3 linked regions of the Diceros bicornis minor genome follow. The protein of the gene in region 3 interacts with the protein of the main gene of each other region in a biochemical or structural test. Links are inferred from orthologs where the notes say so. Each region holds a gene or a part of one and is shown on either strand. Other genes may lie near its edges.

Evidence for each region.
Region 1: the proteins of MAD2L1 (region 3) and REV3L form a complex in vitro, tested with the Homo sapiens proteins (2 studies listed by BioGRID). The link is inferred for Diceros bicornis minor from reciprocal best matches to the Homo sapiens genes MAD2L1 and REV3L.
Region 2: the proteins of MAD2L1 (region 3) and UBD form a complex in vitro, tested with the Homo sapiens proteins (2 studies listed by BioGRID). The link is inferred for Diceros bicornis minor from reciprocal best matches to the Homo sapiens genes MAD2L1 and UBD.

The regions. Positions count from the first base shown.
Region 1 is NC_080762.1:23,945,486-23,953,315, reverse strand, and holds the start of REV3L (DNA polymerase zeta catalytic subunit), read right to left. Parts: upstream 3,019-7,830; 5' UTR 2,555-3,018; coding exon 2,416-2,554; intron 1-2,415. UniProt on the Homo sapiens protein: Catalytic subunit of the DNA polymerase zeta complex, an error-prone polymerase specialized in translesion DNA synthesis (TLS). Lacks an intrinsic 3'-5' exonuclease activity and thus has no proofreading function.
Region 2 is NC_080753.1:36,034,494-36,041,262, reverse strand, and holds UBD (ubiquitin D), read right to left. Parts: upstream 2,757-6,769; 5' UTR 2,519-2,756; coding exon 2,501-2,518; intron 1,547-2,500; coding exon 1,076-1,546; 3' UTR 519-1,075; downstream 1-518. UniProt on the Homo sapiens protein: Ubiquitin-like protein modifier which can be covalently attached to target proteins and subsequently leads to their degradation by the 26S proteasome, in a NUB1-dependent manner.
Region 3 is NC_080750.1:13,586,767-13,594,498, reverse strand, and holds the start of MAD2L1 (mitotic spindle assembly checkpoint protein MAD2A), read left to right. Parts: upstream 1-4,714; 5' UTR 4,715-4,798; coding exon 4,799-4,871; intron 4,872-5,724; coding exon 5,725-5,871; intron 5,872-7,732. UniProt on the Homo sapiens protein: Component of the spindle-assembly checkpoint that prevents the onset of anaphase until all chromosomes are properly aligned at the metaphase plate.

The DNA of each region.
Region 1 (7,830 bases), on a different chromosome or scaffold from region 3:
ATAGTTTGTACTTTCAAACAATAAATCTGTCTTCATTAAAAATTCTAGCATTCAGACTTCTACTAAGCCGAATTGACCTCTCTTTTAATTATTTTCAAGTTTTATGTTACTGGGTGGACTAGACTGGTTTTCTTTGAGAAGAGAATTCAGAAGCAGATAATTGGAGAGTTTCTGTTTACATTTAATTAATACTAATTTTACTGAGAGTTTCTGAGGTGCTAAAAATGCTGACTTGATTTCTGAAAGCTGTAAACTCTAAATGTATGCCAGTGACTTCAAATTTTTTCACCTGTTGAGGAAACACAAAAATTTTTATGTCTGAAACTGAACTATATTTATAGCAAACAATTTGATAATCCTTAACAACTTGAAGTTCGGGTTTCTCTGTATCAAGTTTTACATCTTTCAATGTATATACAAAAAGTCTTACTTGTATATTCATTTACAATATACATTTCAAGGTATATAAAAAAACAGTTTGGGTTTGTGCTTTTTTTTTTTTTTTTTAAGGGGGGGCTGGTAATCTATTTTAAGATGTCCAAGAGGGAAGAAATAAATGTTTCTAATCATAGACTAGTTCAAGTCTCTTTTTTTAAACTGAGAAACACAAAAGTATATCATATTCTTTATTTTTTTAAAGAATATTTTCTCTGATAACAGAATTACTGCTAGCTCACAATGAAATTCATTTATTTCCACAAACAAAACTTTCCTATGAAACAGAGCTTGAAAACCACTCAGCAATACATATTTAATGACTTGTGTACAGAAAAAAAAACTATGTGTAGAAAAGTAACCCAAACCATACAAACTGTAATACTCAGAAATGCCACAGTATATACTATGAGCATGTCGCTTTATAATCTGGAAATCCAGCTGAACAGAGCTATAATCAACGTCACTATCTTTTTCCTTCTCTGCAGCTGAAGTGAGAACAAACAGTATATTACACTGAAATTCCAATTAAAACAAAGACAGCATCACTATATTTAAAAGGGCAGAAAAATCTATTCTTCAGAACACTTGACTGCCTCTATTTTCCAGCTTCCAAAGTTTCAAGTGTTACACGTTCAACGAATTGTTAACAGCATTCCAATACCCCATCTTACAAGGTCCATATCATCAAAATCTTTTTCACTATTTTAAAAAGGAATACTCTACCAAATCTCACTAACATCACTGAAGTTTTTAACAAAGAGAATTCACATTAAAAGATAACTGCTTGGAATGACTGCTTGTCTTTGGGAAAGTAGTGCTATTATCTCGGTAGTTCACATAAATTGACTAGTAGTAAGATGAATGATGATTAGGGAGAGGAGCATCAAGTGGGAAATGCTATCTAAAATCCCATAGGGCAATACACAGCTAGAGGCAACAGCATCCCTTTCTAGGAGGCAGCTCCATTATTTCATGTAGGCAGTTCATAGCATGCAGAAACGAAAAACAACCAAAAACACCTCGTAAATTTGCCCACTATCCATTTATATTATCATAAATCCCCAAAAGCTTTTGAGAAGGTAGCTTGTCACTGCCGTCTCCCCACCTGGCTCATTCTTGAAAACAGTTTGTTTTAAATATATTTGTATGTAAAAACGCAACCCTACAACCCAGCATAGGGTTATCTTTTAATGTTTGTGTTGCTGAGTTGAGCTGTGGGACGCAAGCAATTCACGCTAAGTGGGATGTTTTACGTTGGGCAACATAAACACGCATTTCCTACTTCCATGGACGCACATTTCCCTGAAAGCACTGCACCTGAGGATGCTGCCCTGTCCCCAGACTCTGAGGCTTTAACTCTAAGGAGTCACGACCTGCGCTCACAGCAGAACCACATGGTCACTTCACTGAGAACGATTATCTGGCCCCAGGCGCCACTCTTCAGCCCACTACCTCTCCGGAAGGGGCAGAGGAGAGCGCTGCTAGGAGGCGAAGAGGAGCGACTGACAACAGAGCTGACACTTCCCCTCCCCTCTCCAAGCCATTTCCAGAAAGAGGCACTTGGGAAACGCAGGGGATGTCCGCGGTCCCACCGGCGACCGACCTCAGAGCAGGGCCCGGCGAACCCGTCCCCGCAAGACATGGCGCGGCCACCTGGCCCATCCTCCGGGGCCAGAGCGGTGCTCGCGAAGCTCGCTCCTCCTGCCCCGCAACCCGGCAGTGCAGATCCAGATCCCGGCCGCCGCACACAGTGTAAACACTCGGCACCCGCCGCCTCCCCGCCCGGGGGGCGCAGCTCTCGCGCGGACCCCCGTTTCCGCGCCTCTTGTCACGCACGGGAGGAAAGGCGAGGAGGGCGGAGGGGAGGAAGACGCGGCAGCCAGCCGCCGAGAGGGCCGGCGCCGGCGGCGTGGGCGCCTGTGCGCGGCGGGGAGGGCAGCCCCGGCGCCCCGCCGGTTCCCGCCCGCGCCCGCTTACCTGCCGGGGTCGCTCCGAAGACTCGCACCACCGGCACCTTCTTGACAGGGGCCTGGGTGACGGGGGATTGGCAGATATCCAGCCCCTGCAGCGGGCTGGCCATGTAGTAGTCGGCAGTCACTATCCGCACTGAAAACATGTTCGCCGCCGCCGCCACCGCCTCCTCTTCACTAGCGACCTGGCAGCGGCAGCAGCGGCGGCGGCGGCTCCTTCCGCAGCGGCAGCCCCACGGCAACGGCGGCGGCGGTGCCCCCTCCCCTGCTCGGCGCGTCCCCCTCCCCTCACACACAGACACTGCGAGCGGCGGCGGGCGGGGCGGGCCTGGCACGGCTGCCGCCGCCTCCTCAGGAGCAGCCGGCGAGGGGCAGCAGGAGAGAAGCCGTGGCGCTGTCGTCGGTGCTGGTGCTGCCGCCACCGCCGGGAATCACACGGGCTCCTCGGTCCCAGGCTGCAGCTCTTGTTGCCATGATGATGATGTCACGGACGCAACCACTGGGGGAGGGGAGACCGGGGTGGTGAGTGGCGAAGGGAGGGCTGTGAGTAGTTGGGGGAGGGGACGCGGAGGGAAAGGGAGGGAGCGGGGCGCGCGCCCGAGCGGGACACCCCGGCGGGGGCCGAGAAGGTGTTTTCTCCCCCGCCCCCGGGCACGTAGCGGGGTAGGAGGCTGGGGGAAAGCTGGGCCGGCGCCCGGCGCGGGGGATCGATGACTCGGCCGGTGGGCACGGCCACCTGGGTCAGGGGCAGCGGAGGGGGCGGCGGAGCGCCGATGACATGGATGGGCTCGGAGGGGCTTGCAGGTGGGGGCTATCCCATGTTCAGGGCCGTTTTGGCGGCTAAGCGGGATTGGCCGGAGCTACGGTACTCGCGCTCGCCTCGCCGACCGCCATTTCACATCCTGCACAGGAGGCGGGGGCAGCCGCGGAGACGGCTTTTTACAAGGTAAGAAAACCCGCCTGCGGGAGGAGGGAGCCGAGGCGCAGATCTCGTGCCTCGGCGGCCTCGCGGGAGGGCGGGCGGCGGAACGGGCGGGGCCAGGCGGACGCAGCTGGCCCTTCTCAGGTAACGCCGCGGCTCCGCGCGTGGCCCGAGGGCGGCGCGAGGGGCGGGGGCGCGCGAGCGCGATCTTCGGCCTATAAAAGGGTCGCCCCGGCGCTCCCTCCCGCCTGTGCGGCGCGAGCCGCCGCGCCCCCTCTTCGTGTGTGCTGCTGCAGTGTCTGCGTACGGCCACTTAATGAGATTTATTCACGCTCGGCTCTGCTCAGCCTTGCCAGGATTTGGCAGATCCAGTGCACAGGGATTTCCCACCGCGGTGTTTTTCTCCCGCCCCTTTCCTTCCCTCGCCCTAGCGTATCCTTTCTTGGTTTCCTTTTCGGGCCCGCAGGCTGCGTCTCGGGCGCGCGCGCGGACATGTAAGGACTTGTCAGCTCCCGGTGACCTCTCTCCTCCCCGCCCTACCCCGGTGGAATGTAGGATTAAGAGTCTTTCAGAGAAATTTTCGGCCAAAGAAAAAGGCCCGTGAGAGTCGCCGCGGTAGATGTGGACTCCCGGTGTTATTCATTAACAGGTTGTGCGAGGTTTTACTACCCGAAGGCATAAAAGCAAAAGGGGGAGGGGACTGTAGACAAAACAACTTTATCCAAAAAGAGCAGGGGGAGTAGGGGTACAGTTGTGAAATCGCAAAAAGAAGGGTAGTAACATGCAACTGTGTTGGCCATTATGTTGGAACCTGTGGGTTTTTGTCTGACTTGGTCACTAATATTGGGCGTGACCTTGGACAAATAATTTGTTTTGGGGGGCTTCAGTTTCCTCATCCGTGAAACGAGAGAGTTTCACTTAAAAATCCATGAGTTTTTCCCAACAAAAAGATTTAAGCAGTAGGAGGCAGAAACCATAATTTCAAGTTCGAAATATGCCACTGAACTAGGACTTTTGACAATCATCTCAATCTACCCAAATTAGAGCTCATTCTTTCACACTTATATATTATACAGGTGTGTTTTAATGGTTATTAGGTTGCCACATATATGAAGAGGTGTGCGAGATCCTCATTTGGAACCGTTGTGGTTCTTCAAATAGGAAAATCAAAAGGCTCAAAGGGACAAATCACTGGTAAGAAGCGGTCTAGAAATTCCATAGCATATAATGCTAATAAGAATTTATGCTCCAAGGGATTTGAGACTGATTACCACAGTAAATGAGCCTGCAGTTTTCAACTCAGAGCATGATTATAAATATAGGTGGCAAGATTTCTACTAATATACAGGGAATTACCTAATAATATTTTTAAGATGCAAAATCACTTAAGTTTCAGAAGGCTGTGGAAGGGGTTTAAAAATAGGACTACCATGCTAAAATGCATTTTCTGGTAATTAAATATTTTGTACAAGCTGAAGGTCAGATGCACAACACTAGTGATTCTCATAGTTAATATTTTGAGATTAAATATTATATAATAATTATATATTATAATTATATAAATATAATTAATATTTTGAAATTTATTATTTTGGGGGGAATGGGGCCTGGAAATTTGTATTACTGGGAACCCCACCCACCACTCTCATGATTGTTAAGTAATATAAAATTGAGAATGCCTGTACTATGCTATAATCAAGCACATCCGTAATATTTAAATTATACCATTCCTAACTAGAAAAAGGTAAAAGCATCAAATTCACAGATCTGTTTCTAGAAAAGGGTTTCTTTCCTCCTACCCCTTGAACAACATCATTTACTTTAAGAAAACGCAGTTGCAACCACAATTCAAATCCTTCTATAACTCCAAGGAAAGAATGCTTACTCTTGAAGAAAAGCATTTGCAGTGTGAAATTAGAATATTGTGTCCATTGCACATAATTGAATTTAAGTTCATGCTCAAATTAAAAACCTGACAATTCCCCCCTACCTAATCACTATCAAATGTGTTTTATAAATATATTCTCCCGAGCTAAGAAAGAACTCTGGAATGTTGAGTCAGAGAATGAAAAATTTAAACCATCATTTGCTATCTAAATGAGTTTGGACAGCTCACTTTTTTTTTTGGAATTTGTTTCCTCATCTATGAAATGGATAGTAATTCCTGTTTTAACCACTCAGGGATGTTATAAGGCTCAAATGAGATAATGTCTGTGAAGTATAATAAACTGTTGACATCCAGAAGTTTAACTCGTCTACAAACAGTAAAATCATTGGGAATTGTCTTACCTACGTACAATATGAGGAATGCCAAAATTAAGCTCTATACTTAATATCCTTAAAGCATCTCTTTTTTTGTTATTGTTGAGTGGGTTTTATTTGCCAGGTGATTTGAGATATAGTGAGAAACAAAATAGATGTGGCCCCTACCCTTATGGAGCTTATAGTGTAGCATCATAGAAATGTATTTTAGTCATATCAATCCACATTTTATCATCTCTTCTAGTTCACTGACCTAGACTCATCATGTCGTGTGTTTAGTAAAAGCCTGCCCGGCCTACTGTGCCAATAATGTTCAATGTGTGTTAGCATCTTCTTGTTAGAACAGAAGGCAATGGCTACCATAATTTTTTGGCAGATATTATAAAATGGCTTACACAACACTCATCCAGTTCCCTTATGGCTTGCTTTTCCGTACTTCAGAAGCTAGAAAATCAAAAACTACAGTTTCTAGACTCCCTTGTAACCAGAGTACTGGCATGAGATGAGTGGTGTGCCAGTAAATGTTTAACAATGGCTGGGGGAAGGGAAAGACCCTGATTTGTAGCATTGGCCAGTTTTCGTGGTGTGAATGTTCTTAAGCTACCAGAGTTACTTCAATGAACGTGGCGTTAGTTGGTGAAGATACTAACAATCACGAGCTTGCTTAGCATATCACTACATATGACCTAATTTCCAGCAATCAGATGCACCCATTCAAGACATAAATGTGAAAGTGAGCAACACGATGGCTCAGCTGCACTCAGGGTGATGGTATTTTCTGGCAAACATCATGGTGGAGGTGTCTGGTTCTTCTGGGCAGCTGGGGAGGAGTTCTGGCATCCATTTTTAGAGTCATAGGTGCTGACTGGCAGGTGGTGCTGGGGTGGGTTTCTGCTAGAATAGCCTTGTGATGCAGGCTATTCTTGTGTTCTTCCTGGTTTGGTTTTTCCTGGATGTTTCTAGCTATGTATTATCCAAGCCTGGTTCTCTGGTCCTCTCAGAGATCTGTGAGCTAAATGCTATCCTTTAATCTCTTTCTGCTTAAACTAGCTCAGTCACTCCCAGCAACATAATTTGTGGGGCTCAGAGCAAAATGAAAAAGGTAGGCCCCCTGGGTCAAAAAGCAAGGAAAAAGTGCCACTATATATATTTAAATATAAAGCTTTTTCTTTCCTCTGTTATCTCTCCCTCGACTTGTCATGATGTTTTTTATTTGCTTTTTAATATCATTCTAAGTAAAGAAAAATTAGAATTTTAAATTATTAGAATGAATTTTACCATTCATCTTTACATTGTGCAATGCCATTTATAAATGCAAATATAAGAGCATTTAACTCATATGTAGAATCACCAAAATTACACAATTCGTATTTCATAGTTTGTACATGCATATGTATTTCGTGCTTATCAGAACAATGTAAATGCTGCTCAAAACCAACTCAACTTTTTATTTCCCTTCTTGATATGAAGCACATCCTACCAACCTGAGTAAGGAAGGACTGAAAAGAAAGGGAACTGTGGGCTGCCCTACCTTTCCCCTTCCTTCTATGTCATCATTTTCAGAGTAAATGGTATTACAGGGAAGTAACACACACAAGTAAGAAAGGATATGATGGGGTTCTTTGGTCACATCTATTTCTTAGGATGCCATTGCCTTCTTTTTGCCCCTGAAGCAAGTTCTGGGTCAGATGGAAAGCATAGCCTCTTGGAACTGTCAGCGCCTCCACTAAATCAGTCATAGATGTAACATGCTTGCCTTGACTCACTCTGTGACTCCCTGAGTTCCTTCACCTCATAGGTCCACCAGAATCCTGTGCTTATGAGGCATTGTGAAGACTGTATGCAAATAGGGTGGCAAGGAAGAAAGGACACACACGTTACCTCCTCTGCTTGCATATATGATTCATTGTACCACTGGACTTCATTTATAAAACAGACATTCAAACATAAAACTATTAAGATTTTCAAAGTAGTGACTGCAGAGCATTAAACCAGGCACTGAGCCCTGTTTGCACAGTCTGCATGCCCGTGAAGTTGACCCTGAGCTCAGTGTTTCTCAAGGGGGCTTCTCCTGGTATTTTGGGTGAAACAGTTCTTCATTGTGCAGGATATTTAACATCTCTGGCCCCTGGGCACTACATGCCACTGTGACAAAAATGCCCCCAAAGAGGAGTTACTGCTCTCCGCTGAACTCCTAGAGTGGACTCCACTCTCTGCAGCTAGAAACCATAATCATTA
Region 2 (6,769 bases), on a different chromosome or scaffold from region 3:
CCAGTAACGAGACATGAAAGAGGGACAGTGAGACAGAGGAGTAAATGAAGGCAGTAAGACGGAAGAAGGGTCTGGAGTTCCCAAGAGAGGAACAGGTCCCTGGTGGTGAAGGAGGCTGAGAGGAAAGCAGAGGTGGTGAAGGAAGCAGAGAGCTCTATCAGCCAGAACCTGGGCAGAGTGTTGAGGTCAAGCCAGAGACCAACCCCTCCTCCCCTCACCCAAACTGATACCTCCAACCTAGAGAAGACCTGCTAGACCCTGAGGAAGGCACGACAGAGACTGGTCCACAATCCCCCACCCTTCAGGAAGTGTGTTCCCTCCTGAAGCACATCTGCTCCCAAGGAGCCTCCACTAGAGACACAAAATCTCTAGATCCCCAGGGATGTATCTTTCCATGCCCACCATCATCCCCAGAAATAAGAAGATTTTAATTGGGCTTAATTAGAGAGTAAGAGGGGGCACGGTGCCTGGTTTTATTTCATACCAAATAGCTTTAAATAAGGAGAAGAGTAGTTGAATTGAATTTCTAAATTCTTTATTAATTAGATTGTAATCATGTCAGAGTAATTAATTCACTTCATAATAAATCAGTTCACTGTTCTCTATAAGTAAAAATTCAATTTGCTCCAACAATTAGTGAGCAATATAATAGATGAAGCACTGGGCTAAACACAGATGGAAGCATAGAAATTAGGAGAACATGAATCCCAACCTAAAACTCACTATCTTGTTGGATGGGAAAGGAAACAGGAGTTTTTTAACAAACCAGAAGGAACCAAGAAAGGATTAAACTGCAAGCTGGCTTTGAATGCTATCTCTAATGTGCCTTAAAAATGTATTTTGTTTTAAGTAATATATTATATGCAATCCTACTACTTAATCAATTGTTAGCATCAAAGAATCATAGAGTTAGAAAGTATTCTGCAGTCTCCCTCCCCACTTCACCCCAAATCTTATCCTTCTATTTATCTCTCTCTCATTAGTTTTGGGAAATAATCAAAGGATGTGATTGGTGAGTAAGAGCCAAAAGGAAATAAACTCTTTTGCTCCTGGCATTACCCCATCCCCAGGGTGGTCACCCCCCAATGCAGTGTCGTGTCAGGAAGAGTAAATTGCCCTTTCTGACGCCATAATCTGCCATGATCTTCCCGTCTTCCAATTTCTTTCCATTGCAAGTCACGATCTGTTTCTCAGGAGTTATAGCGGTCTTGGCCTTGATCATCTCTTTCACCTGGGCCACTGAGCTGGACCTTCGCACCTGGAGGAGGTGCCTTTGGCCCTCATCACCTGACTCCACCAGAGTCATGTTCAGCTCCTCATCACTGGGCTTCACCACCTTCAGGGTGAGGTGGATGGTCGTCTCCTTGTCAATGCCATAAGATGATAGCTTCCTCATGGGCTTTAGGGTCTTCGAACCCAGCAGAAGGATCTGGTCATGCACGGGAACCTTGGTCTTAGACCGGACATGTTCATTGATCTTCTTCACTCTGTCTTCCAAGTAGGCAGTGAAGGTCATTAATTTCCATTGCTGAGAATGGACATTCACCTGCACAATGAAGGCCAACAGACAGTTGCCTAGATTGCCTGCCACCTTTTACACTTCTTGCTCCCCCTCCTTAATTGCTTCTGCCCTTCACTGCCCATCTGATCCTCTAGCTTCTTTACAACAAGCTGTGTCCCTTCCTTCCTTGGAACTTCTCTTTTGGAATTTTCAGGTTATAACACAAACAATAAAATCAGTCTTATTCCTTTATAACCATACTTCTTATCCATTTCACAATATCATTAACGATTTCCCACTTTATTTACCTGCCTCCTATCTGGATAAATTTTGTCAAATGTCAAAAACTAAATACAACTACAAAGCATCCAAAGATGTATATCAGACTCTGGGGAAGCTCACCCCTGTGTTGTCACTTGAAAGCCTGGGAGGACCTCCCTCACATTCTGTTCAAAAATATCTTCCCAATCTAGATGTCACAGACATTTCTTCACTGGAGTCTGTGCAAAGCACTGCCCTCATTCCAGGTTCTCTTTATAGTGCATATATTCTTGCATAAGGTAATATCAGATCATTAACAACTTAGGATAAATGAGTTTTGTGAACCTCTCTTTTGAGAGGAGAAGGAAGCTTAAGTTTAAGAGCTCTGGGCCTTGAACAGGATAAGGGGAAAAGGGGTCAAGACAGTATTTCCACAGTTTCAAATCTCATCAGCCCTGTTAAGCACAAAGCCCACTCCCACTTCCTACCATTTATCCCTAACAGTGGCCAGTCCAAGGTCTGACATAAAAGAGAACTCAGGAGCCAAATGGCCAGCTTCTCTTCACAAAAGCTTCCTTTACCTTCTGTAGCTATCAATGCCTATCTCATCCCCTTCAAGATGCTCTCCCAGTCACGCTACCTCCCTGAGCACTGTCCCTCATCCATTCCTGAGCTCTCTCCCCCATCTCTTGAAGGTGCTTTCCCTTTCCCCATCCCCATTATCAAACCCCAACTTACATAGAGGCAGGTAGCCATCTCAGCAATCAAGGGAGTAGAAACAGGAGCCTGAGGAGACTGCGAGTGCACCCAGCTTATATATGAACAGCTGAGTTGGAAATCCCCTGCCTGATTTGTTGTGTTTGTCTAGATTTCCTGTGCTCTCTGTTCTTGTATAACTTCATAAATTTTCTTTCACTTTTGCTTACAGTGACTCAATAAACAAAGAATACTTTCTGTTCAAGCCCTTCTCCCCTCAGCCAATACATCTGCCTTCCTTAATCCAAGCATGGGTTGGTGCTTCTCTGTTGAGAATTTTTCCCTGATTAACAACCCACCACTCCCAGTCCTGACTTATGACTGTCCAGTCTGCAACCCTGGGCCCTCACTGGCTTGAAGACCTTTAAACTTGGTGGTCCTCTCTTGCTGCTTTTAAGAACCTCCCATCAGTCAGGGGCCTTCCTGAGAGCACGTACACCCAGGAGAGGACAGAGGTGTGGAGTGATGTGATTATGAGCAGCCTCTCACACTAGCCTGGCAGGATGTGTGAAGCAGCCTCGAGAAGACGTAGAATAAATAACCCTGGACTGAGAAGTGACATGACGGTGCCACTTGCTACATTACCTTGGGCAAGTCTGTTCACCTCTTTAGGTGTTGGTTTTCTGATCTATAAAATGAGATGATTGAGAGAATTACTAAGTGTCTTCCAGGCTCAGAAAACTTTGTTTATAAAATGTCCTTTACAAAGAACTTCAGATTCCTGGGTCTTGAGGTCTCCGACTCACTTCTTCCCCTGTCCCAGAACCTGCAAACCAAATCCACTACTTGAGAACAATCCAAAGCCAACAGTCAAATGCTGACTCCCCCCTTCCACACACTAAAGCCATCACACATCCACTCTCTCACCTCAGTGGCTCTACTTTCCCAGCTGTACTCCTGGACTCTCCTCACACTGCCATCTCAGATGCCTACGGTGCTGCTCACTGCCTGGCCCTTGAGATTGGGATTGGGACAAAGAGAGAGTACATGAGCTGTGTGCCCTCAGGGAACTGACTCGATATCACTCTGATCCTCCTAACACTCCAAATTACTCACTCCCCTCTCCCAGACTCTCAGGACATTGCCACAAAACCCATTTTTTTAAAAAAAAGGATTTATTTCAAAGTAAAAAGCTCATAAAAATGCCAAGTTATCATCTTTGTTGGCTGTATTTTCAGTGGCCATTTACTGTATCTTCACTCAGTGACAGATTTCAAATGATCCCATTTTATTCCAGGGGTTTCCATCATGGAGAACTTGGATTTACAGAAGTGCCTGCATAGAGTAATGGGATCTAAGAGGTCATTCCAATATTTCAAAAATCTTAACATAAATCATGTTCTTCTATTTGAAGCTCTTAGTTAATAAAACTGAAAAAACTAATTATTATCTCAATGTATTTTTGTGGGGTAGACATACTTTTTTTAAATACATAGGGTGAATATGAAGAGGGAAGAGTGTGTGATGGAATAGACTGGAAACATGGGCACCTGCTAGTCTCCCTTCAGATATCTCTCCAGGTTCCTATTGTCCTCTGTGTTTAGAAACCAGGATTGTGACCTTTAGCTGGTGCACAGCAGCAAAGGCTGCCTTGCATCTGCTATCCAATAGAATTTGGGTATTCTGAAACATCACCAGTGGCCAGGCAGAAAATGTCAGATCAGGTTGAGGGTGATAGAGAAAGAGAAAGCCCTGCAGTGGGGTAGTGATGGGAAGCGTGGAAAAAGAGAGAGGAAAATCTATAAAAAACACAGATTGAATAAACTGCTTTCACTTTTCAAATTTATTTGCACCCATTATCTTCTTAGATCTTCACATCATTTCTGTAAAGGGAAGAGGGAGATTAAATGTTTAAGGCTGCTTAAAATTAAATTACTCTCTTCTCATACATTTTCCCTCTTTGCCCTTCTTGTTCCAGTAGCCTACACCATCTTTATGCCAATGTCTGCATTCTCAGGGGAAGCAGGAAACCTTAGCCGGAAGCTCCAGGAGGGGGAGTCTTGGAATGACATTCCCCAGGAAAGATATTTGTCTGCTGATGCCCCTCAGATATATAACCACCACCCAAACTGAGCTGCAGATACGTAGGTCTAGCTGCTTCTCTGCACAGTTCCCTGAGTTCCCTGCATATCCTTAAACATGCCAAGCTCTCTGCCACCAGGTCATTGAGCATGCATTTCCCTCCAACTCTACCCCCAACATCATGAATTTATAAGAATATGCACTATAAGCAGCATCTCCTCCAGGAAGCCTTCCCTAACTCTCTTCCTTCCTATTCTGTGTTATGTGCCCATCTTCTGTCCTCTCATACTCCCTCCACAAGCCTCTCAGAGCACATTTCTTCAGCAATAAGAGCATCTGCTTACTTGTCTGTTGCCCCAGTAAACAGTAGGCATCTTGAGGGTCATGACTACGTCTTAATTAGCTTGTATCTTCAGCACTTCCCGGGCATGCTGTCTAGCATAGTAAATAATAAATATTTACTAAATCCATGAATGAATTTCTAAATGAATAAGTAAGTGAATAACTAAAAATGGAAAATAACATTTAGTGAGTACTTATTATATTTCAGGAACTGCACGAGACATTATTAAATGGTACCTCATTAACTGTTTCAGCATTCTAATGAGGTAAATATTAGTATCTTTATTGATAAGCAAGCTAATCCATAGTCATATTAGTAGTAGCTGGTGAGCAAGAGTTCAAATGCTAATCTCTACTTCTATAGTCCTTATCTTCTTCTTATCATATTGTGCTTCAGTGGAAAGAGAGGGGGAGAGTGCATGCACACATAGGCCTGTTTATTACAGGAAAGGTACAAGTTGGGGGAAGGAATACAGAGAGACAAAGGAAAGCAGAGGATGCAAGGAGCCTTGGGATGAGTGACAGCAAGAAGAGTTTTGGGGCCCATATGTAGGTAGGAATAGTCCTAGGTGGCAGGCTCTGCCCAGACCACTCTATCCTCCCCGACTCGGCGGAAGTAAGCAAAGAGCCTGTGAGCGCAGGTGTCGGAGCCTGGAGGAAAATTGCAGCCTGGTGCAAGGTAGATGAGAACTGCTCTCCTGGGACTGTGAGTATTAAAGAGTGCCACTGTCATGCAACTCCAGGTGGCAGTACAGGAACCTCCCACTGGAGCTGGGGATTTCAGAGGATTCCCTACGTAGACAGGATCTGGATTCTGAGAAACAGTGTCCTTTTAAGGAATGAGAATAACAAATCTGGGCTCTGATCTCCCTCTTCCCTTCCTCTGTGAAATTCCCCTCCCACCCAAGGCCAGGGCGAGCTCTTTCCCAGACACCCTGGTGCCACTTTGCTGACCACAGGTAGGAATTCTTTTTGGGACCTGACCTCCTCCTTGCTTGTTACCACATGTCAATCTGACTTATTTTTTTCTCTGTGCCATAATAAATTTTTTCAGAGACAGAAAGATCTGTTTTCATTTGCCCCTCTAACAAATTCAGAAGATCAGCCAACGTGAAAGATCATGCTATAGAGATCTTGCTAGGTTATAAAACAAATGTATCCTGTATCTACAAACCTCCTAGCTTGGCCCTAGCTGATGGGTGGTCTTAGGCTAGTCACTGCTTCCATTGAGGCCTCTTTCCTGTCTCTTTACTAATACCCATGAAAGAGTTCGTAAAACTGCTTTGAGATCTAGAATATTGCTTCTGAAATGCCAACTAAACTCAGTGAAAAAGCCACTGGGAGTTCTTGTTTATTGATGGATGGAAAAAAAATTTGTTCACTCTCAAAGAGGGACAATTTGGAAATACTATAAAAATTAAAAATGGACATGCCAAACTAAAACAACCCAAATATCTTACAGTAATAGGGAAATAGATAACTGAATTGTGGAATATCATCAGCAGTGAAAACGGACGGATTACACCTGCAAGCAACAATATGGATGAATATGCCAGAAAGCTCCTGAGTAAAAAATACAAGACCAAGGAAACTACATAAAGTATGATACTCTTTATAAATCTTAAAAACAAGCAAAACTACATAGAGAAACAGAGAGATAAGCTACTTTGAAATTCAGAGTATGTTCGCTTTTTAACAGAAACAAAGCCCAATCTAAATGCTAATGTGAGTTACTTGAAGATTTTCAACGGGGAATGAGTCACTTAGGATCCCTCTGATATGATCTCATCTGGTCATATTCAGAGCCTAAAGTTTAACTGTGAGAACTTAATGTTTGATAAAAGCAATTTATTGAATGGCACTAATGTGTGTTACGTTAATACTTAA
Region 3 (7,732 bases):
TGCTGCACGGGGTGGGCTATGTGTGGGGTGTTCACCCAGCCTGGTTGCAGCACAGGTGCTACACAGGGAGATGGAGGTGTGGTACGCTTGCGTAGGTTGGTTGCAGTGCAGTTGCTGCTTGGGGTGGGTGGGGCTTTGGGCACTTGCCCGGCCCAGTTACCGTGTGGCTGCTGTGCAGGGAGGGCAGGGTGCAGGGTGCTCACCTGTCCTGGTTGTGGCGCAGCTGCTGTATGGAGTGGGCAAGGTGCAGAGCATGCTCACTGGTGTTAACAGGTTTAAGGACGGGCACCAGAAGTGGCGTCTGCCAGCTCCGTCATGATGAAGTTAGAATGAGATTGTGAAAATGACATCCACCAGTGTTTCTGTCTCTGGAGAGATTTTCTGCAGGTCCCTGCCTCTCCATCAGCCACTGTAGGATTGGTAAGTGGGTCTCCCTCACTTATGCTCTAGGCGCTTTTCAAACTGTTGCTTTTGCACTGGATCTCAAGGCAAGTGTGTCTACACAAGCCCTGTAAGAGCAGATTCTCCATTTCCTACAGTTCCGTGTTTCCCCTGGACTTAATCCCTGTTGATTTTCAAAACTAGATGTTTTGCAGGCTTGTCTTTCTGGTGGCAGGCTCAAGGATCAGAGTGCCTGATGTGTGGCACAATCCCTTCAATCCTCAAGGGAAAGTTCCATATTTACAGATCCCTTCCTGATTGTGGGACATCACACTGGGATGGGCTCCCGGCCGAGACCAAGTCTCTGCTTCTCCTACCCTTCTTGATGCATCTCTTTTATCTTTGCTGCAGAGGTGCTGTTTGTCCAGTTCTCAGGTCCTTTTCAGAGGAAAATTATTCCATATGTAGCTGTAAATTTCTTGTATCTGTGGGAGGAGGTGAGTTTAGGGCCTTCCTGCACTGCCATCTTGAACCTCTCCCTAGAATCGTTAAGAGTTATCATGATAAATAAGAAATAGAACAGGTTCAGAGTTTGGGCAGCTCTTCCTAATATCCCATAGCTTTGAACAACTCTACTCTGTATTACAGGCTTGCCACCTTGGAGTTATCTGCACTACCATTTCATTCTTCCTCCATATCAGTCATCAACTCAATTCTTGTTTTAAAATGTCTTGCTCTGATGCGGTACCTTCTTTTTTTGGGGGGGGAGGAAGATCAGCCCAGAGCTAACAACCATGCCAATCATCCTCTTTTTGCTGAGGAAGACTGGCCCTGAGCTAACATCTATTGCCAGTCCTCCTCCTTTTTCTCCCCAAAGCCCCAGTAGAAAGGTGTATGTCATAGTTGCACAGCATTGTAGTTGCCGTATGTGGGACGCCGCCTCAGCATGGCTGGACGAGCTGTGCGTCGGTGCGCACTTGGGATCCGAACCCAGGCCTCCAGTAGTGGAGCACATGCACTTAACCGCCAAGCCACAGGGCCAGCCCCTGATGTGGTGCCTTCTTATTCAAACTCTCTGGCATCCATCTAGGCCAGGCTCTCAACCTCCTAGGCCTGCATGGCTAAAATATCCATCATAGTCTACTGCTTTTCAAAAAGTGATTTAAGAACTTGCATCAGAATCATTTGGGACGCTGGTTAAAACACGTCATCTCTTAAACCCCATAAAGTAGACCAGCACCGTCCAATAGAAATATAACATGAGTGACATATGTAATTTTAAATGTTCTGGTAGTCAGATTAAAAAGCTAAAAAGACACAAGTGAAATTATTTTAATAATATGTTTTATTTAATCCAATGCATGTAAAATATCATTTCAATATGTAATTAATTAAAAAACATATCAATGTAATTCTTTACATTCTTTTTTTATCGTCTCTGAAATCAGGTATTTCATACTTGTAGCATATCTCAGTTCAGACCAGCACATTTTAAATGCTGAAGCAGCCACCCATGGCTAGTAGCTGTGGTACTGGACTGACTCAGGCTTGGAGAAGGGGGAATAGAAGCCAGGAAAATACATATTTAGCAAAATACCCAAGTGATTCTTTCACATTCTTAAGTTTGAGGACTACCACTCACAGTCGTCCTGTACACAATCATTTCTACAACCATTACTGAATTTACACCTGAGAAAATGTCCCGCTAATCATTTCAATCCTAAGAACCTAGAAATCCCTGGTACTTCCAGTTCAATCAACATAGATGGGTATTCAGAGCTCCCTAAATGTGGCCTCACCTCATCCATCCAAGCTGCTCTCCAATGGGAAAATGTTTTCGGTTCTTCTGTCAAGTTTTCCTAGGAAACTATTCAAATGCTCATTCCTTCAACAAATATTTGTGGAGCACCCACCAAATATCATCATGGATCCTCCACCAAAACAGGGAAGATGGAACTCAAATCATTCTATAATCATAACAAGGTAATTATTTTCATTCTGACCTTGAAAGCAATGCTCTGAAATAGCACTATGAAATGCTATGAAAATGCCTAAGAGCAGGACCTTATAGTCTGAGGGGTCAAAGAAAATTTCTTTAATACAACATTTAAGTTAAAAAAAGAATATAGGGGCTGGCCCCATTGCCTAGTGGTTAAGTTCGGTGCGCTCCACTTCCGCGGACTGGTTCAGTTCCTGGGCGTAGACCTATACCACTCATCAGCAGCCATGTTGTGGCAGCATCCCACATATAAAATAGAGGAAGACTGGCACAGATGTCAGCTGAGGGTGAATCTTCCTCAGCAAAAAAAAAGAGAAGAATATAAACATAACTTGAAATTTGAACAGATAAAATGAAATTTCTAAGCAGAGGAAAGCACATTATGAAAAACCCTGAGATGGAAAAGTTACTAAAGGATCAGGCAGACTAGGAAAGTACAGGGCTGCCCAGGTAGGCAGAAGGCAAGTAAGGTCAAATTTGTAAGCCTTTAATTTTTCTTTTTTTTTCCCCTTAAGTATGCATATTTAATCAAAACTAGATTATAAACTCAAAAAGCACAGACCACACCTTCTAAGCCTTAATTATTTCTTATATCTCCTCACAGAGCACAAATAAAGTATTTAAAAAATACTTCATCTATACATGGAAAAATACATTTTGCTAGCCTTTTAAATTCTAGAATCTCCAAAATTATACTAACAATTATTTGCATCTTCAGCTAATTTACAAGCTATATTACTATGAAACCTAAGGAAGTCTTTCCTGAATTGCTGAGTATTAACATAAAGTTCCTTAGAAAGAGAGACAATTTGTATACACAGTAAGGTAGCATTGCACTCTAACTCAAGTTCCTGGTGCAAGGAGTGAAAAGATGGTGATTTACACACACAGATACACACACGTACCACAGAGACTGAAGGATGTAAGGAAAATATTTTGTTGGGTCGTCAGCCTCTTACTTATTATACCTATGTTTTAATCTTCAAAGTGATCAAAATCTGATATATAACTGTGATAGGCAGAATTCTAAGATGGCCTCCAAAATTCCTGGTCTCTAGGGAGCACATCCTATATAACTCCTCTCCCTTGAGCGGGGCCAGAACCTGTGAATATGAGGGCCTATCACTTCTGGGATTACGTTCATCAAAGGAGAAACTGTTTGACCGGGTCTGACCTAGTCAGGCAAGCCCTTAAAAGGGAACTCCCTGAAGTCAGGGAGACTACAAGTGTGAGAAGGCTTACTGTACCTGGCAAAGGCACAAACCTGGCCTCTGGCCAACAGCTGGCAAGACAAAGAACCACAAGGACGTTAATCCTGCCAACCACCAAGGGGCTTGGAAGAGGACCCCAGCCCTTAGACGAGATCCCACGCACAGACGCCTTTATTTCAGAACACTCAGCTAGGCCACGCCCAGACTCCTGACCTACGGGACTGACATAATAAACGCCTGTTCACACCACTAATTCGTGGTAATTTGTTCTGCAGCAATAGAAAACTAATACACTCAGCCATTTCTCATATAATTAAATAACACAGTATGTCTGGTACAGTTTTTCAGACTGCATTTTACAAATAATCTTTCCACCTGCTACAAGAATAAACTCGTTTCACAACGGCCATGAACATTAATTGTGCACCATCTCCTTTATACCTCTCATCCTAACATGAAGTCATTGAATTTGTGCGTCAAAATCCACGGAAAAGTTCTTCAGTGTTGAGGGGCCTTTTTGGCGAGGTGACCTTGTTCCTGACCAGCCGCCTGCGGGTGGGCAGGGCGGACGGAGAGCAAGCTGCACCCCCAGCCGCCCCAGACTCGGCCGCGCAGGGGGCTGGGGGTGGAGGCGGGCGGAGCCCAGGGCAGACGCAGACTAGGCAGAAAAACGGCTGCGGTTCGCCCCTTTGGCCCCCACCCCAGTTTCTCGGGAAAAGCCGCGCTCCCACAGCCATCGAGGCCTCTAAAGCCGAGGCTCGGCTGTGCGCCGCTGCCTTCCGAACTCCCAACGTGTCCAGCCCAAGTCTCAGCCCTCCACTAGGGATCCCTGGGGAGTTCATATCATTTTGAAAATATCTTCCGAACGCAGAATCTGTGCTCCTCGGTCGCTCAGTCTGCAGGCCTAGGGAGCGGCCAACAAGACCGGGACGTGCCGTCTTCCTCCCTCCGCTCCACCTAGCCGACCGCAACGGGAACTGCCCGCAGACACCCACCGGGTTAGGACGCCCGGCACAGCGTGACCACGCTGACCCACTGCGCCTGCGCCCGTCGCGGGGGCGGGGCTTAGAGGCTGGTCGCGCCTGCGCGAAGGGCCCGACGGCGTGCTGCGTCGTTACTTTTGAAACGAGTGGCGGGCAACTGCTGCGAGAGCCCCTGCTGCTCCTGCCCCCCCGAGGAAGCGCGCGCCTCCGTCTGTGGCCTGGCCATGGCGTTGCAGCTCTCCCGGGAGCAAGGCATCACCCTGCGCGGGAGCGCCGAGATCGTGGCCGAGTTCTTCTGTGAGTCCTCCTGGCGGAGGCCGGGGGCGGGGAGGCCGGGGCAGGCCGCCCGGTAGGCCCGCGGCTCGGCTCCGCGGCGGGGAAGCCGGGGGGCCCGCAGCGGCCGCGAACTCGAGCCCTGTCTGTCCCGGCCTCCCGTCCGGCCGGAGGAATCTGGGGAGAGGCGGGTGCGGGCGTCTCCCCCGGCCGCGGTGCTAATGGCGGAGGAGGAGGCCTCGGTGCTGCGGCGGCCTGCCTCGCCGGGTACGGCCCCTGCCCTGGGGCGGTTCTTTAAAGTGCAGATCCGTGTCTGCCCCCCCGCCGCCCCAGGGCCTTGGGACGTAATGCGACCGGGGCGGGGGGCACGTGTGGGTGATTCTGGGGTTGGCGGTGATGCACTCGACTTTGGGAAGCGCTGTTCTGCACCTGGCCGGTCCTTCCTTCTGTTAGAACCTGGCAGGACTTGTGAGAGGAAAAGGAGGAAAAAGACAGAGAGAGGTTTGCCCGGGGCCTTGGACCAGCCAGTCAGTTGCTAACGCGCGCCGAAGCCTCTTTGACATCCCCGAACCACATAATCTGAATTTGGACTTGGATTACAATGAAATGAAATTTGGCAGTGGTAGATTAATGCAGTTTGGCATTTTTCTTTTATTGCCACAAAATGCAGGCATTGCTTTCTCTCTTTTACTTAGAAGCAAGACTTCAAGGATTTTTAATGAAATTTTGTACCTACTGTGCTTTCAGCAAGACCCGCACAAACACGTCTGTTCAGGCATTTACAGACATACCATTAATGAAACCAAAGCCAGATCTAAATGTTTTGTTTTCCCGAGTTACAAAGTGATAATAAGTTCAACATTTTTTTTCTTTTCAGCATTTGGCATCAATAGCATTTTATATCAGCGTGGCATATATCCATCTGAAACCTTTACTCGAGTGCAGAAATATGGACTCACCCTGCTTGTAACTACTGATCCGGAGCTCATAAAATACCTCAATAATGTGGTGGAACAACTAAAAGGTATTCAGTTGTTGGAAACGGTTTTGAGTTTTGCAGGCCTTCTAGAATCCACATTTTCTAGCGTCTTGGTGGTCATCTTTCAGCTCTGTACATAGGGTTGTAAAACACACTACCATCTCAGATATACTGACTCAGCTGGGAGGAAGCAAACAATGTAAATTGAAAGAAATCCCACCCTTCCCCCACCACATTTTGAGTGAGCTGAATATTTTGATGTGAGGAATCTGAGACGGCTTAACAAGACAGCCTCCATCAACTCCCTTAGAAATGACTCGTGCAATTCATGTGGCCAAATGGAGCAAGTTGGAATTTTACATAATTATGATGGTGTTCATTATCTGAGAAAAATCCACTATACATTCTTAATATTATATATATTCTGTAGCTGCTTGGAGTCTAAAGTTGTCATTATTAAGATCAAGGAAATAAAATTGGATTCAACGTGGGAACTAAACTTAAAAAAAGAAAAAAAAAAAGAACAAGTACTAAATAGTAGAGCCCAGTAGAGTTTTCTTGTTTTTCACCTGTTTCCATTTGTCTTTTTTAAAAATCTTGCCTGTGAGTCAGTAAGCTTTTTCTATCTGAACACTCATTTTTTTTAGCTCAAGAAGTTGCTGTATTGTTGGATCAATACTTGTTTTCCATCTATTCCTTTTTTTCCTTCCTCTAGAATTCCTATTAGTTTCTCTTTTATGTTTCTCAACACTTAGGATTCTTTTAATTTTTCTGTGTTGTAAAATGTTCCCATTTGATAATCCAAAATACTAGTTCCAAAACACACTACAGTGGTCATCTTTTTTTTTTTAATTTTTAAATTCATGAATCTCATATATATATTGTTTCAAGTAGCTTCATTTTTAAAATTACATTATTGTATTTTTATTAACTTCAGAGCTAAATTACCCATAGTTTCCCATACTTATTTATAGGGCTATACTCAGATTATTTGGCCTGGAAACCTCTAGGCAACTATAGAGCTGTGTCTTCATCTTAATTTGATGAAGAAGCAATACTTACCTAAGCTACTGGTGTTTTGGATTGTCTCCTTTGAGACACCTCAGATGTATCTAGACCATCCTATTTAACTTCTTCCTTTTAGTTTAGTTAAAATGGAGGAATTGCTCTCCTTAGAGGCAAATTGTTCAATCTGTTTTGAATCCCATCCCTCTAGCCTTCTGAGGGACTTTATCCTATGTTTTCTGTTGTATTTTCGACTTCTTTGTTTTGATTTGGATTATTCCCGTTGGTTTCATCTCTCTCCAATTTTAAAGAAAAATTACCACCTACCTCAAATCTTCAAATTACCACCTAATCTCCTCCTTTTCAGAGCTAAACTGAGAAAAAGTTGTTGATATATGCCAGGGGTCAGCGAGAATATTTTTACGTTTTTAAAGAGTTGTTTTGAAAAGAATATGCAACAGAGACCTAGGTGGCCCACAAGCCTTAAATATTACTGAATTATTTTGTCTCTTTAAAAAAAAAACCTGCTGATTCCTGGATATACTATCCCAATTTCCTAGATTTATTCAGGGGTCAATTGCAGGCCCTCTTCTCACTATAATCTCTCTCTCGATGATCTCTGACACGTTCCTAGCTCCATTAACAACATCTGTATAGTTGACTCACAAACTTACATCTAACCCAAGTCTTTCTGAACTCTAAGCTCATATATCAAGTGGCTCTCTTGATATCTTCATGTGGCTGTCTCAGGGATACTTCAAACTCAGCATATTAAAAACTAAGTTTAGGATCATCTCCATTTCACTTCTCTTTCCTCTCTGAATGGACAGCCACCCAACTATTGATGTAAGCCAGGAACCTGGGAGCTGTCCCCAACTCCTTCCTCTTCCTTACTCTCATA